Linked DNA regions of Saccharomyces cerevisiae S288C. Changing the gene in region 3 together with the main gene of any one other region gives a genetic interaction. Each region holds a gene or a part of one and is shown on either strand. Other genes may lie near its edges.

Region 1 (4,577 bases), on a different chromosome or scaffold from region 3:
GTGCTTCAGTTTATTTATTATATGGTCGAAAACAGATTCCTGTACTTGATATGCAATTGACCGTATTTCGCGTTCTGGCAGTTCCTGGATTTCTGTTTTACCTAGTTTTGTCAAATTAGTTCTTAATGCTGTGATAAATGCTGAAAACGAAAACGAAAGCATGTTTCTTTTACTAGCGCTGTTTTTTAACGGACTGGGCATTTCTAGTTTTAAAGCAAAATCTTGGTCGTTAATATCTTGATTAATAAATTTCTCCATTTCTCTAGCGATCATTGTTCCCTTGAATCCAAGCTCTCTGCCACATTTATCTAATGAGTCACCCACTGCAATATCGATAGTATCACATAATATTTCGTGATCGTCAATTGCTCGTGACAAAACAAACGTAGTATGACCACCACTAACCAGCAGGCTAACAAAGGGAAATTGAGGCACTTTTCCATTTGTACCCATTCTTGGTATCAGCAAGTGTCCCAGCATGTGATGCACACCAATCAGTGGTTTGTTCCAGGCAACAGCTAAACCTTTTGCAAAATCTAATCCTCCTGATAATGAACCAGGCATACCAGGGCCTCTTGTAACACATATGAGATCAATTCCTTCTCTCGCATTGCTTTCTATCAGGGCTCTTTCGGTTAAGGGTCCTATCCGAGCTTGGTGATGGATATGAGCCTTTGTTGGTATAATACCTCCTTCGTCAATACTATCTAAAGTATCTTTCAAATTGGCTAGCACATTAGGAGCTGCACTTTTTGAGAACCTGTCCAAAACTGAAACGCATGTATCATCGCAAGAAGTCTCAATGGCTAAAACTTTATAGCCTTTTCTTAACTGTATTGGTCTGTTGAATGCACGCCTCTGCCAAATTCTATAGTTATCGAGGAGAAATCTTCCGGTTCCTTTTATTGATATCATAATGAAAAAAAAAGTTTCTATCCTTTCTTCTACTCTACTTATTTCAGAGCTTGAGAATCGCTGTTTGCTTTAATTTCATTGTCAATTAATCATCGCGCAATGAAGATGCCACTCTTTCCATTGGCAGAGCGGATCCGCCAAATAGAAATTACATAAAACAAGTAATTTAGCTATTTTTCAGAGTACGAAATATTTTATTATATATATTGAATCACAATTACGAGTACTTTTCAATTACATGTTAAAAGTGCTTCATAAGTAGCTCAAACAGTTATTTTTCTAATACTATACCACTTCTGTCAAAGACTTTACCTTTGAACTGGGATAGATTTTCACCTGCATAACTCAATTTGCTGGAAACTTCGACTAGTACCCCATCTTTTACAATAGCGCCTGCATCTTCCAACCACGAGGTTCCTAGTTTCAAATATGCTAGTCTGCTGGTCTCAGGATTATCGTTCTTAGAACCAGGACCGTTTTTTAAAGGTGAAAATTCTTTGCATCTATCTACTTCTAAGCACCCAAACTTGTTCAGTGGTACAGTGTCAAAGACATCAAATATGAATTGCTCTAATTTTATACCGTTTGGTTCGGTAGGCTTAGTGTACTTGCCGGTAACACTATCATAAGCTGGAATTTTCTTCTTCGCAATGTGATATGGCATATTCTCACACCACTGATCCAAATCACGTTTTAGTAAATCCACTAGGTAATAATGATTTACAATGTTGCCTGCGCGTAGTTTTAATAAGCCATCTTTATCCTTTGCTTCAGCCAATTCATTGGAAATTTCAGAATATTCTATGACACATGGTTTCTCGTTTTTAGTAGCAATTAACCCAACTGATTCATGCGCATCTCTCTTTCTAACGGCTTTGGTGGCCAGTTCGAAGCCATGCTTGATGGCAAAACCAATAAATACAGGGTCTGCGATTTTAGATAGGACATTATCGACACAGTACATGTAAACATGCTTGATTCCTCTCCTATCAAAGTCTTCGTTCAACTTGTTTTCCTTGATGGCACGGTAGAGTCCACCATTTCCATCTGGTGATTGAGATAGGTTTACTGGGTCTTTCATTAGGAAATGCTTCCCGGTTAAATCAAAGGCAGGCAGGGTTCCCTGGTTGAAGAACGTAATTTGTTCTTTATTCAAGCCAAAATAATTGTGTTCTTGAAAGTATGCCTCAGTAGCCGCTCTAGTGGGGCCTGATGTCATAATATACCAAGGAATTTCTACCTTTTTGTCCTTTACCATATCTTGCAACCTGATCAACTTTTCAGCTTGAATTTGAAAAAGAGATTTCTTAGAAGGCAATCCAATGTCGTAACAGCCCTTTGGTTGAGAGGATCCTAACCGCGTACCTTGTCCGCCAGCCATTAAAATCACTGCGACTTCACCCTTGCCAATAGCTTCAAGGCCTAAACGCCAGTATTCATTTTCTTTCTTACTGTTGCCAATAAGCGACTCGTACGAAGTAGGGGGCAATGGTGAAATTTCGACGCCAGTATCCTTAGAAGAGTTAGCTAGTGAGAATTTAATAGCATTTTGACAGTCTTCCAGTAGTTTTGCAGGGGACCTCTTGGAAGATATTTGCTCCAGGTTTGAAAGCAATTCTTCTTGGTCTTTGCGAGACAAGCTTTCCCAATTGTGGAAAAGTTGACTTTGTCCGGCTTCAATGAATAGCTGTTTTGTGTCAGTCATAGTTGCAGTTCGATCTGGTGTTCTCCTTTATATCTGCGTTTCTTTGCAGCGTTCTTGCTTGACGGTTGATCTTGGTTTTGTGTGGTAAAAGTATGCCTTAACGTAATAGGCAATTTTTCGTATTACGCGTAACTTTTTATTCTATAAAATGTTCAATGAGGACATCTGCTATTCGCTTATGAAGAACAAACACTCAGTACTACTGATCTAAGGCAATTTTCAAGGATAAAGGAAAATAGATATTGAGCACTTGCTATTAAGCATTAATCTTTATACATATACGCACAGCAATGAGTGAAAAAAGATCCCTTCCCATGGTTGATGTGAAGATCGATGACGAGGATACTCCCCAGTTGGAAAAGAAAATCAAACGGCAATCAATAGATCATGGTGTTGGAAGTGAACCTGTTTCAACAATAGAGATTATTCCGAGTGATTCTTTTCGAAAATATAATAGTCAAGGCTTCAAAGCAAAGGATACAGATTTAATGGGTACGCAATTAGAGTCTACTTTTGAACAAGAGCTATCGCAAATGGAACATGATATGGCCGACCAAGAAGAGCATGACCTGTCATCATTCGAGCGTAAGAAACTTCCAACCGATTTTGACCCAAGTTTGTATGATATTTCTTTCCAACAAATTGATGCGGAACAGAGCGTACTGAATGGTATCAAAGATGAAAATACATCTACCGTGGTAAGGTTTTTTGGTGTCACTAGTGAAGGACACTCTGTACTTTGTAATGTTACAGGGTTCAAGAACTATCTTTACGTCCCAGCGCCCAATTCTTCCGACGCTAACGATCAGGAGCAAATCAACAAGTTTGTGCACTATTTAAACGAAACATTTGACCACGCTATTGATTCGATTGAAGTTGTATCTAAACAGTCTATCTGGGGTTATTCCGGAGATACCAAATTACCATTCTGGAAAATATACGTCACCTATCCGCATATGGTCAACAAACTGCGTACTGCGTTTGAAAGAGGTCATCTTTCATTCAACTCGTGGTTTTCTAACGGCACGACTACTTATGATAACATTGCCTACACTTTAAGGTTAATGGTAGATTGTGGAATTGTCGGTATGTCCTGGATAACATTACCAAAAGGAAAGTATTCGATGATTGAGCCTAATAACAGAGTTTCCTCTTGTCAGTTGGAAGTTTCAATTAATTATCGTAACCTAATAGCACATCCTGCTGAGGGTGATTGGTCTCATACAGCTCCATTGCGTATCATGTCCTTTGATATCGAGTGTGCTGGTAGGATTGGCGTCTTTCCGGAACCTGAATACGATCCCGTCATCCAAATTGCCAACGTTGTGAGTATTGCTGGCGCTAAGAAACCATTCATTCGTAATGTGTTTACTCTGAATACATGCTCACCCATAACAGGTTCAATGATTTTTTCCCACGCCACTGAAGAGGAAATGTTGAGCAATTGGCGTAACTTTATCATCAAAGTTGATCCTGATGTTATCATTGGTTATAATACTACAAATTTTGATATCCCTTATCTTTTAAACCGTGCAAAGGCGCTAAAGGTGAATGATTTCCCATATTTTGGAAGGTTAAAAACCGTTAAGCAAGAAATTAAAGAGTCTGTGTTCTCTTCGAAGGCTTATGGTACAAGAGAAACCAAAAATGTCAATATTGACGGCCGATTACAGTTGGATCTTTTGCAATTTATTCAGCGTGAGTATAAACTAAGATCCTACACGTTGAATGCAGTCTCTGCGCACTTTTTAGGTGAACAGAAGGAGGATGTACATTATAGCATCATTTCTGATCTACAAAATGGCGATAGTGAAACAAGAAGAAGGTTGGCCGTTTACTGTTTGAAAGACGCCTACCTGCCTTTAAGGCTTATGGAAAAACTAATGGCGTTAGTTAACTATACAGAAATGGCTCGTGTTACAGGTGTGCCATTTTCATATTTACTAGCTCGTGGTCA
Region 2 (4,694 bases), on a different chromosome or scaffold from region 3:
CAATTTGCCGTAGTGGATATAACAAATGGAAGAAATATAATAATTGAGGAAATAGAAGCATCCAGGACTAGTTTTACTTTATATGATGGCGGTATATTCATTCACCAAGGCTATCCCTACCTTGTGAAGGAGTTTAATCCTGATGAAAGATATGCTAAAGTGCAAAGAGTAGATGTTGACTGGGTAACCAACCAAAGAGACTTTACAGATGTAGATCCACAGGAAATTGAACTTATACGCTCTTTAAGGAATAGTGATGTTCCTGTTTACTTTGGTAAGATCAAGACTACAATTATTGTATTTGGCTTTTTTAAAGTAGACAAGTACAAGAGGATCATCGATGCCATCGAAACCCATAACCCTCCTGTAATAATCAATTCTAAAGGATTATGGATAGATATGCCAAAATATGCCTTAGAAATTTGCCAAAAGAAGCAATTAAATGTAGCAGGAGCTATTCACGGGGCGCAACATGCAATTATGGGTATGTTACCGCGATTTATAGTGGCGGGTGTGGATGAAATACAAACTGAATGCAAAGCTCCGGAAAAGGAATTTGCAGAACGTCAAACTAAACGAAAGCGACCAGCTAGATTAATATTCTATGATTCCAAGGGCGGTAAGTACGGGTCTGGCTTGTGTGTTAAAGCGTTTGAGCATATTGATGATATTATAGAGTCTAGTTTAAGAAGAATAGAAGAATGCCCATGCAGCGATGGATGTCCTGACTGTGTAGCGGCTTCTTTTTGTAAGGAAAACAGCCTGGTCCTGTCGAAACCTGGCGCCCAAGTCGTTTTGCATTGTATTCTAGGTCACTCGGAAGATAGTTTTATAGATCTTATCAAAGATGGTCCAGAGCCAAATATGCCAGAGATAAAAGTAGAGACTGTTATTCCTGTGTCAGAGCATGTCAACTTTTCAGATGATTTTAAGATTATTGACGTTAGAAGAGCTACGAAAGACGATACTCATACAAATGAAATCATTAAAAAAGAGATATGAGCACGCTATTTGTAGTTTGTAAACCGAATATAAATACTCTATTCTACTACTTGTAGATTCACTTGGTGGAAAGAAGTTACATCAACATTCTGTCACCTTGTTGATGCACAGAAAAAAAGACACTTTATTATTGTTGAATAACATTGTCTGTGGTATATATATATATACTATGATATTACAGTTTTTAAGACATTAATGTATTAACAGCCCATTTTACGCTTAATGTCCTCAAATCGGTATAGGTTTGTCCCACGCCAACGAATAAGATAGGAATCCCCGTAGCATAAACCATATTTACCATAGTACCCAGCATTTCACCAACTGTGTCACACTTGGAGATAATAAAGAAGTCAAGATTTCTTCCCTTTCCGAAGGCATCATTAAAATTTTTGGCTTGCTGGACAGAATCAGTACCTACTAAAGCCTCTCCAACCATAATGATTTTATCTGGCTTGGCTTGGTCAGCGAAAGACTTCAATGGCGACATTAAAGTAGGATCATTATGCCTTCTCCCGGCAGTATCCATTAACACTATATCGAAGTTTTGATCACGAGAATATTTGATGGCTTGCTTTGCAATTTTGGTTACCAAGTCAGATCCACCATAACCAGCTTCAAATAGTTCAACGTAGTCATTACCAGTTTTACCCCTTTTGTTCTTGGAGCCACGAACGTGTGAATCATCCATTAGCTGTGCCAAATTTTCAACATGGACCCTTAGTTGCTCAACTGCACCAGACCTAAACGTATCACAAGCAACAATTAAGACCTTGAAATTATTTTGCAGTAACCAAAACGCTAGCTTTGAAAGATTTGTTGACTTACCAACACCATTAACACCAACTATAGAGAACACATAGGGATCACATTTACCTTCTTCATCCTTTTTGCTTCTTTTGCTCTGAATTTCACGGAGGAGATCAACGGATACACCAGGCGTTAATATTTGAGTTAATGCTTTTGTTAAAGATTCACGAGCAGTATTCTCAACACTGGTCCAATTTGCAGTTTTTGAGCCTACAAGATCATGTGAGACTTGCTGTGTTAAATAGTCTGCTGCCTCTGGTGCTACATTTTTGGTTATCAATTGTTGTGTTAACTTCTCTAATACAGATTTCAAATCACTTTCATTGATCGTTTTGTTACCTAGAACGTGTTTTTGAAGGAATCCAAAAGCTGTACTGACGTATCCAGAATTTTTAGCTTCGTTCCCACTAGTTATCTCGTCTTTATGAGAAGACAAAAGATCATCAATTTCTTTGATTAAGAAATCGCCTCCTTCTGTTCTATCCCCAAAAGAATCTTTATTAATAGTGGAGTCTAGAGCTACTTGGCTACTATTGTGGCTGTTGGATGATGAGAAATCTAATTTGGCTGCATCTTCATGATTCATTTCATCAAGCATGCCACCATCACGGCCCCACTTTCTCCCACTACCAACATTTCCTGTAGATTGCTTCTTACCTTTTGTATCCCTCAATTTTTTCTTGGTATTTTTATTATGCGATTGGGGTACTGATCCATTTTTGGTAAAATTATCTGGATTGATATGGTCTTGTTTTATTGACTCTTCATATTTTATCCTAAAATATTGCTCAAATTTCTTCAGGTCGTCTTCAATTCCCTGAAGAATATCGACGTAGTTATGCTTGTTCTTTTCGTTTTGGCCCTGACGATTTTTTAGAATGGATTCACTTAAATGCAATGAGTTCCAGAGTTTTAACACCAGTGCAAGTGTTTGTTGAGTTTCTTGATTAAGCTCTAAAGTCTGCTCGGCAAAAGTCACTACGAAATACAATTCTGGTTGCTTATTCAAATAAAATAGTGCATTAAATGAAGGAGAATTTTTGTGTTCGCTGTTGATTGTTAAAAGATTGAAATCAAATCCGTCTGTATTTGCGTTTGCAACACTTTCTTTTCTAGTTACTGGGGAAGTAATCAGCTGGGATATAAAGCTGTTAATTTGTATTTCAGAAAACTTTTTTCCTAAACAGTTATATTGGTAAAGTACTTGACCTTGAGGGGTAAAGACTGCTAATTGGTCGAACATAATCAATGCACTTATTGAACCGTGAATCTCCTATTGAAAAAAACTACTTGATGAAGTAGCTGAATATTATTCAAACTGTGAGAATACCACAAATCTTTGGCTACAGATTAAACGCTGACGAAAAATTGGTTTATTTATTTCTATCTACTTATTGTACGACCTCAAATGTTTACGCAGTAGTTTCTGAAGTACGAGCAAAATTGCTCGACGATGATTTCGTTATTGTTTCCGGAAAAATTACCCAGCGCATAAAAAGTAAGCTTTCAGTACTTCTCTTTGATGATATTTGTACAGCAAAAGGGTATTTAGTAACGGAATAAATTTAATATATAAGAGTATAAATAACAAAAGACAATATAAATTGAAAAGTTGTAAATATTGAAAAGAAGGCTGCATTATTGTTTTATGTATTTTTGGGAAAAAATATATGACTTAACGAGGTCGAATAAAAAAATTTGGATGATGCCTTACCGGAACGTGGATTAAAAGGAGAAGTACAAAATTCATGCAGTTGTTAATGTTCGCAGGAAATAAAAACAAAGGGAAGGGATACTGAGGGGTGAAGCACAATCCAAAGAACGAAAGTGAAAAACAAGAAAAACAGCAATGACGATATTGGTAGAAGAGATTATACCCTCTTCATGAATGGATTTAATGCACGGACGGTTAAACATGGCAAAGCCATCCCCACCTCAGCTCTCAATAGAATAGGAATCTTTTGCAATTCATGTATTTCTTGTATATAGTTATCATTTTCAATTCTGGTTTCAGTAGTAGAAATGAATTTTTCTAAAGCATTTTGCTTGTTGTCGCTTGCAGATGGTAGCCTTAAATTTGGTACTGTTAGATGCAAATCGCTGAGTTCCTTACTCAATGGATCGCTGATCAATGGTTCAGATTCCGCTTCTTTATCTAGTTCAATATTCGCAATCTCAGCGGCTGTGGATCTGAATTTGTTCTTAATGGAATTTCTATAGGATTTTGGATTTTTTTCATCTGCTGGTATAAAAGTTGCACTATCTACGCCGGGCTGCCAATGCAATTCCAAGACACGATTGGTACCATCAAACTCAGCTTTGATCAAAGGTAGTTGATCTCCATGAACTCTCTTTTCAATACCAAATTCTGGAATAAATACATCAAAGGAGGACTCGTAAACTTGTAAGACAGTAGCCATTGTTAATAATTGTCCTGTAGTATTTCCCATGTCGTTGATTGTTTTACACAACAATAGATGAATTGCTTGTTCCTGTGCTTGATAAGCACAGTCCTTTTTAAAATTACAATATTCGGAGGTAATCTTCAAAGCTTCCATATCTTCGGTGTATGGAGTATCGTGGATAACGGCCTTTAATTGCCTATGAACGACATGATCAGCGTATCTTCTCATTGGCGCTGTGAAATGTGTGTAGATAGGTAGGTTCAAGGCATAATGCCCATATTGGTCCGGGTCTACTTTGCCAGCAATAAAGTATCTAGCTCTTGGCATGGTTTTAAACAGTAAAATTTCAATTCCGACTCTAACATCGTCATCTTTAATTTTTAGCACCCCTTTGATTAATTCATCCGCCGTATTGGTATCAAAATTGTAACCAAAATTTTGAATTTTCTTTCTAAATGACGCCATCTTGGTTGCAATGGG
Region 3 (8,245 bases):
GGACGAAGAGAAAGTCTTCTGCGCCAAGGCCGAAAAGAAAAATTTGAAGAAAACATTCTCAGATGCGAATCTACTTTTACATCATCTTCTACGTAGGCCCTTTTTTAGTTCCTTTTTTTTTTCTCCCTCGGTCTGTTTAATCATAGTAAAATCAGATATTGTCAAAAATTGTATTCATTGAATGGAGAGTACTTAAACTTCACATCCTAACATTAGAGATGCCAGAAAAAACATATAGGTATAAGTGAAATCATCATTATGATAAACGAGACGGATGAAAGGAGAAAAAACTGAAAAGAAAAAAAGGGCGGATTGACAATTCAAGAAAAAGGCAAAAAGTAAAGGAAGGTAACATCACTTGATATCGCACCCTTCTTTGCATTGCCTTGTGGTTACCGTACCACTCTTGCTTATGATTTTTTTTTCTTTTTGCGCGCGCTAGGCTGAAATGTAGAGGTTCAAGGTATGATAACAGCGGACAAAGGTATATGATGTCGCGCATTTGATGCCTTAAATACAATTTTTTTTTTTCCCTCCTCCGTCGAAAAAACGCTGTGAAGAATAAAAAAAAATTGTATTTTGTATTACCCGGATTTACTTTAGTCTCACATTGTATTGTTAGGGTTTTGCTACTTATGGTAAAACTGCCGCTAAAAAAATATTCATTTCTATCCTAATTGTATTTTTATTATGTAGAGCAAAGCTTGCGCGAAATTATTGGCTTTTTTTTTTTTTTAATTAATACTACCTTTTGATGTGAACGTTTACTAAAGTAGCACTATCTGTGGAATGGCTGTTGGAACTTTTTCCGATTAACAGCTTGTATTCCAAGTCCTGACATTCCAGTTGTAAGTTTTCCAACTTGTGATTCAATTGTTCAATCTCTTGGTTAAAATTCTCTTGTTCCATGAATAGGCTCTTTTTCCAGTCTCGAAATTTTGAAATTTCTCTGTTGGACAGCTCGTTGAATTTTTTCTTAGCTTCTAATTGTCTAGTTATAAATTCAGGATCCCATTCTGTAGCCACCTTATCCATGACCGTTTTATTAATTATTTCATAGCACTTGTAATTTTTGAGTTTGTTTTCCTCGATTTCATCGAAGTTCATTTCTTCCTCCAAAAATTTCCTTTGTTCTTCCGTTATGTCAACACTTTTCGTTGTTAAGCAATCTCTGGCCTTTAATAGCCTAGTTCTTAGCATTTCAGATCTGCATTTTTCATAATAATCCTCGGTACTTTCTACAAGATCAATTAAATTCCAATCAAAAATCGTCTTTTGCAAGATTTTGAAGTCACAGTACTTTTCATTTTCAATGTCAACAGCGCCCCATTTGTATTGTCTTCCTTTAACTTTTTCGCCCTTTTCATTAAAAATGTACTCATTAGATGCAATTATACTGAATGGATATTTTTGAAAAATATCTTGTGTTGCATTCAAAACTTCATCGCCGAAAAAGAAACATACAGGGATATCTTGTACTCTTATTATTTCTCTAACTTGTGTTTTGAAGTTTTTCAATTCCTCTTTCGTTAGCAAATCTGATTTAGCAATAACCGGGATTAAATTCACTCTCTTCGCTAATTTTTTCATTGTTACGACGTCTAAAGTATCAATTCCCTTATTTGAAGGTCTCAGAAAGTACAAACAACAATGGACTCTATTATCAACCATTTTTGTCCTATCAGGTTGTTCTTCTTGGAAAATGTACGATCTTATTTCTTCATCAATATAGTTAACCATTGTCCTCCACGTAAATGCATTATCCATATTGTTACCAAAACCAGGTGTATCGATGACGTTGAAATTAAGGTGTGTTCCATCTCCTTCTACAATGCTTTTATAACGAATAATAGGTTTGTTTTCTTTGATGTCATCATCAATTAAAGAAGTAGAAAATAAGGAATTGATAAACGTGGTTTTACCCAATCCACTTTGACCCGCCACCATCAGCGTAAAATCAATTCCATTTTTGGCATTCAACAACTCACGTTGACGTGGTAAGTTTTTGATACCGATGTCTTGGCCGTGTGAATTGGTGTTTATTTCTTGTGCTTTCTTGTTATCTAACAATGGAAGGTCCCTGTTCCTGCATTTACCGTTAACAAAAGAGGATGACCTCTGTCTTCTGTGTTTCAGTTCAGGGCTTTTCGGAGGATGTGAATCGACGGCGTACTGTCCTTGGGAACTTTGTCTACGTATTTTCACTTCCTCAGCGAATCCAGAGACTATCTTGGGAAATTCGACAGGACAGTCTGTTGACAACCGACTCCCTTTTGACTTCATAATAAAAATTCAATGACGCAAAAGGAATTTTAGGTTTTTATTATTTATTTATTTATTTCTGTTAATTGATCCTTTTCTTTCCACTACCAACAACAAAAAAGGGGGGAAAAAGATGTATAATCTAAAAGACACTAATCTGCTCTTGATATCCTTATTATGTAATGGAATAACTCATATAAATGTAAAATAGAACTTCAAATTAATATTATAATGATAGTCGAGGTCAGACACACTTATAATACATTAAGTAAAGAAAAAAAAATGTCTGTCATCGAGGTCTCTTTTGTGTCGCTAACAAAACATCACTAAATACGAAGACACTTTGCATGGGAAGGATGCAGCAAATGGCAAACTAACGGGCCATTGATTGGTTTACCTCTTCTATTTGTATTACGACCAGAAAGAACGAATGGTTTTCATCAATGAGGTAGGAAACGACCTAAATATAATGTAGCATCGATAAAATCTTTGTACTGTATGGTTGCAATGCCTTCTTGATTAGTATCGAATTTCCTGAATAATTTTGTTAATCTCATTAGCCAAACTAACGCCTCAACGAATTTATCAAACTTTAGTTCTTTTCCTGTTCCATTTCTGTTTATAAACTCAGCATATTGGTCAAATGTTTTCTCGCTAACTTCAAAAGGTATTAGATATCCTAGTTCTTGAAGTGAGTTATGAAATTCGCTTACAGAAATGGTGAGCGATCCGTTGATATCATTGTCCACATAAACTTTTCTCCAACTTTTCACTCTTTTGTATAGGGCGATGAATTCTGCCTGGTTGACAGTGCCAAACCTGGAAGCACCAAATAAATTTATCAGCGCATCTACTGATGATATACAAAAATGGGAGTTGTCGTCGTTTTGTAGTAAGTTCTGTAGTTCCTCAGCTGTCAGTCGGTTTTTGCCCTTTACATCATGGTTATGAAATAGCTGTGTGGCCACTTGCATGTCTCGTACATCTTCTCTGCTATCGAACGAAGCAGGTGCAACTTTCTTCAAGAGTTGTGCAGGCACTGCTTGATTGTGAATTAGGGGAGGAGGAGAGGAAGCTATCCGTTGAGCGGAAGTGTTCAAGTTGTTATAATGGGTTGGCGCTGGAGGTATAGGCCTGCCTGCTGGTTTCTGTGCGATAACATTATATCTAGGATCCACAGGTGTTTTCGTATGTCTTGGAGAATAACTTTGGGGAGAACCATAGGAGTGGTGACCGTTTTCTGCTCTGTTTTTGTTATATTGAGTTTGTAAGGGAATTGGAGCTGAGTGGACTCTAGTGTTGGGAGTTTGTGCTTGAGTAACCTTTATTTGTTGCTGTCGTTGTTTCTCTTTCTCGAATTCACGTCTAGTTTCCTCCATGGCCTCTTTAGGTGTAGCATAGCGTACAAAGTCATCGCCAGCAGCGTATTTGAGCTTCTTTGCACACATCGTTTAATGGTGTAGGTTTATAGTTATTTTATGCGGTATACGGTATACATACATGTTCAGTGAAATAGCAATTCCCATCGCTTTGTATTCCTGCGGTTTTTTTATTCGGATAGTTTCTAAATAAAAAAAATCGACAAGACCCTGAGCCAGATGACTGAAATTATCAGTTGTTAAAAGCGATGGAGCACTATCCAATATGCGTATTGTTTTCTTCTTCTGAGTTATGTATATAATGGTGAACTACAAGATTATATAGATTCAGGTGCAAGGTATTGAGCATGACACATGCTGTGTGTATCGTGGCCTATTCACTGTGGCCTATTTCATTCCACTTCCACTGAATATCATTTCAAATGTATTAAAAGACTTTTGAAAGTAACACTGATAGTATGTTGTAGTTGTTCTTGGAAATGTTGAACCAAACCGATTGTTCATTCGCCAAGTTCGAAGATGCCGTTTTCGTACTTGCCAGAAAAAACACGCTTGAAAAAGAAAATCTTGAGTAAAAAGAAAAGGGCTTAGGAATCTTCTATTCGATGACCATCAAACGATAAATGAAGCAATAAAGTCCAACTAACTAGCACCTCCATAAAATAAGTTAGCGTTTAAATGGTTGATGAAATAGATGCATAGAATGTCCTCGACAGTGATTTCATTGGCTCATTTCTGCGACAAGCATGGCCCAAGGATCATATCAGTTACACAATCCGCAGAAAAGGGAACGCTAGGTGAAGAATTACTAGTGCCTGATTATCCAACTGAATCATATTGCGAATCATGTCTTTTACAGTTTCCTGAAGAGTCAACTAGATCGATGCGGTGCTTCATCGAAGATGTTCCGTTTATAACTACCCAATATTCTTCTATAAGATACCAATTGCTAAATTCTATTATTAAAAGAGCCTTTTCTGAAGAAACAATGATTTATGATAATATGCCTTTTATATTTTTTGATGATCTTAGAGGATTGAACTTAGTTATAGGCTTTAAACTGTATGATGAAAATGCTAGAGGCAATGAAAGAAGATATTGTTTTATTTTAACAGTCGATTCCAGAAGCCATGACGATTCTATGAAAATGTTGAGTGAACACTGGAACTTTATCATCGGTGGATTTGATAAAATGATTGCATATATTAAAAACATTCATAAAAGCGAATTCTTGGGGAAAAATAAAACGGTGGAAAACAATTTGGAAACATTGAATAATAACGCTTTCATTGGCTCATATTTACGTGCAAACAAATCTAAATTCGGCCGTAATTTGGTGTCTCTGACGGATGATAAATTTCTCTTCGTGCGAATACATAAATGGAATTCATTTTTACTCCATACAGTAATGAATGAAAATAAATTACCTTGACTCAAATAAACTGAGATAAATGCTGGTAACCTAATAACCGATGAAATTACGGCATGGAAAATTGTTGGAACAACCTCCTAGTTCCTTTTATTCTTTCATTTCGATTCGAAATAGTCATCAAGGCCGAATACTTTACTCCGACGTGGCTTCTGGGATGAATTTAAAAAGGAAAGCCATTCTGGACCGCGATAGATAAATAGTAAGCTAGGTTTACAATTGTGCGTTTTGAAAGGCAACAAAACGATTGAGGTCTATCGTATGAATAACAAAATATATATGGTATATGCATGAACATATATAGATACATGTGGTGAATTTATCATGGTCATAATTTATTAAATTCTCGTAATCTGAATGCAAGGTATTCAGCGGAAGAATTTAAGCCAAAAGCAGACGTGGTCGGGATATCTTCAATTTCGTGCTCGTCTTCTGTATCTTCGTTTTCGTCTTCACTCTCCTCCGCCGTATCGCATTCTTTCCCATCGTTATCACCGCTTGCAATTGTGCTTAAATCCATGAAATTAGAAGAGTTATTCGAGGATGGGCTTAGATTTAAATCCATATCTAAATTCAAGCTCGGCGGAGGATTAAAAATATTAGCAATCATATCTTCGCTGAAGTCATTTGGTGGTTCCATAACATCTTCTTCAATGTCTTCGTAATCCAGTTTTCTCCTTTTGTTTTTACAGAACCATCTATTCAAAGGTACCCGTACTAAATCATTTCCGGAATCAATAACTCTCTCTGTGATTTTTACACCGGGCCCTTTGAACCATATTATTTGCTCATTTGCAGTATTTATGTCATTAATAGCAGTATTACCGAGATTTTGAGCGTTTTTTAGATTTGATCTACTGAAACGTTCTGTCGATTGGATGGTTCTTATATTTTTTTCCATTGGTACAGGAACCACAAATGCACCCGGGGCTTCAATAACAATATGGTTGAAGTTGTACTTCGAGGTATGAGCAGTTAAGGTATTAATCATTGAGGATAATGTAAAACTTTTAGATGCAGGCTTTTTGGGAGCTGTTGATGATAGCTGTGTCTGTTTTTTTGCACTATGGTATTTAGAGCGACTACTCTGTTCTAATAAAGAGGGCGATTGAAACTTAGGAACGGAAGGATGTGATAGTAAATTATGAGAACTATTATTCATGTTTTCTAATTTCAAAAAATTGGAAGTCTGATTGAAGTTCTGATGCAATAGTGGAGTATTTGATGAGGACCTGAAATTGGAGCTGGGAATTGATTTAGTCTGCTTTAAAGTGGGTAAACGTATTGTGGAGGAACTGTTCACTCTGGGCATACTGCTTGTGGTTAAGGTATCTGTAATTATTGTTCCTGTTTCGTAATCTATTTTACCTTCTTCTGGTGGATCATTTGGTCTGATTATGTATCGAGGGCAGTCATCAGAAGTTGAATACTCTCCCAGATCATCCCTCTCTAATTTGGGGCCTAAATATACAGCGCCTACCAAAGGTGGGGCAGTTGGGGCTCCCTCCGTGGGTTCTGGAACTTTGTCATTTAGAGTTGCGTTTGCTGGTAACAAATCTGCTATTGGAGAAGGGTATTTAAAAAATTTTCTTCCATTAACAGGTATCGTAGGCTCATCTTGGTCACGGAGTTCTTCCGGCAGGCAAGCTTTCCAAGTCCTGATTTTGTTGAAAACCTTATCACTTTCATTATAACGGAATTCGCAAACAAATTGAGGACCATTGACTTTCGTGCTAGGATCCCCACGCTGGAATCTGGTAAAATGAATAACGTAGCACTTTCCCTTAATATCCTGAATAGGATGATCTCTATATTGACCAGTTTTCATGACCTCATTCTTGTAGAATAACCTATCCACCCGATGAACGGTTTGTTCTGGCCTAAAATACCAGCAAGCATTCAACCATTTGTTTCCATCTGTAGTAGACCATAATCTAAAAATCTGGCCAACAATGGGTTTATTGATGTCGTTTGGATTATGTAAAAGAACCCAATCACCTATCTGGTATTTCTCATCATTGATTTCTACATCATCTAGAGGATATCTTAATTCACCTTCAGGTAAATAGTCTTCATCAGGTTTGGATAATTCAATTCGCACTAATCTATTGAAGTTTTTCTCCAATAGTTGAGCTCGTATTATATTGCTCTGATCTTGAGAATAATAAAGCTTAAAATTTGTTAGCATTAATTGAAAGTCTTCCTCAAAAGTATGGAAATTTCTATATTTTCTGGACTTAACCTTTTTCCTAATATCCATTAGACAAATGGGATCTGTTATGACAGAGTAATAGGTTGGCTCCTCGTTTCTATCTGGTAGTTTTTCAAAACAGAGGGTAAGCGTCTTATTATTTTGGTCGACCTCTCTTCTCATCATCTTCAAGATATTCTTAATCCTCAGTACATAGGGTAGATCAATTACTGGTGGTCTACCGCGTCTAACATGGGTTTTGGGATGCGCCGAGGTAATATTTGCATAGTTAACAACTGGAGTAGGTGAAGCCAGCGGCTGCGGTGTTATAGAAGCAGAATGGGTTGGAAACGCTGGTGAGTTTTTTTGTTGCATCCTGTAATCTTGGTTGGTTGGTTTCCTTTCAGTGATCGAACTATCTAGTTTTGCGAAAGCCATTTTCATCTCTGGATTTAAGCCAGCCTTTTCATCATTTTCCTGTGTATTAATGGGGTTCGAGGATAAATCGGAGGGTTGCATACTCTCTGCGAATATTTCCGGAATTCGACCTAGAGATGGATATGTCACCTCGGGATAATGTTTTCTTATATTGTGCACGATCTTTCCTTTAATAAAAGACTCAAGAAGAATGGCATATTTGTAAATTACTGAATCTTTTGCATTGTATGTCATTGCATTCCAAGGAATTTGCGCAAAATCGTTAACAAAATCTTGTGGCGATGTATAATGGGGCAATCGTTTCTTTAAAGTGTTTAAAGATATCGGATTCCTTATTATAATGTAATAGTCTGGATATTCTTTTTTAGGTGGCAGTACATTGAATATTGGATATATTTCTATACCATTTTCATCCTTTAAATGGAAGACAGCATCGTATTGTGTTTTGAGTAGCTTCTGTAAAAACCCATTATCTTGCTCCACCATGCTTGAAATATAATTTTTTTTATCTCTGTTTTGTAGCTAGGGCACTTCACAGATTTTCCC

What was found. A genetic interaction does not mean that the proteins touch.
Region 1: mutations in PEF1 (region 3) and QRI1 together harm fitness more than expected from each alone (negative genetic interaction), as found in Saccharomyces cerevisiae (2 studies listed by BioGRID).
Region 2: mutations in PEF1 (region 3) and SRP101 together harm fitness more than expected from each alone (negative genetic interaction), as found in Saccharomyces cerevisiae (2 studies listed by BioGRID).

Annotation. Positions count from the first base shown.
Region 1 is NC_001136.10:273,962-278,538, forward strand, and holds QRI1 (UDP-N-acetylglucosamine diphosphorylase), read right to left. Parts: upstream 2,621-4,577; coding exon 1,187-2,620; downstream 1-1,186. Other genes in the region: QRI7 (putative N(6)-L-threonylcarbamoyladenine synthase), read right to left, coding at 1-915; DNA-directed DNA polymerase delta POL3, read left to right, coding at 2,911-4,577. UniProt on the Saccharomyces cerevisiae protein: UDP-N-acetylglucosamine pyrophosphorylase that utilizes N-acetylglucosamine-1-phosphate as substrate. Together with AGM1, is involved in the production of UDP-N-acetylglucosamine from N-acetylglucosamine-6-phosphate.
Region 2 is NC_001136.10:1,041,960-1,046,653, forward strand, and holds SRP101 (signal recognition particle receptor subunit alpha), read right to left. Parts: upstream 3,053-4,694; coding exon 1,187-3,052; downstream 1-1,186. Other genes in the region: HRQ1 (ATP-dependent 3'-5' DNA helicase), read left to right, coding at 1-1,002; mRNA-binding translational repressor SSD1, read right to left, coding at 3,681-4,694. UniProt on the Saccharomyces cerevisiae protein: Component of the SRP (signal recognition particle) receptor (SR). Ensures, in conjunction with the signal recognition particle, the correct targeting of the nascent secretory proteins to the endoplasmic reticulum membrane system.
Region 3 is NC_001139.9:601,601-609,845, reverse strand, and holds PEF1 (Pef1p), read right to left. Parts: upstream 3,711-8,245; coding exon 2,703-3,710; downstream 1-2,702. Other genes in the region: septin SPR3, read right to left, coding at 745-2,283; LST7 (Lst7p), read left to right, coding at 4,345-5,073; RSC subunit protein RSC1, read right to left, coding at 5,399-8,185. UniProt on the Saccharomyces cerevisiae protein: Calcium-binding protein that is required for polar bud growth and cell wall abscission. Can also bind zinc ions.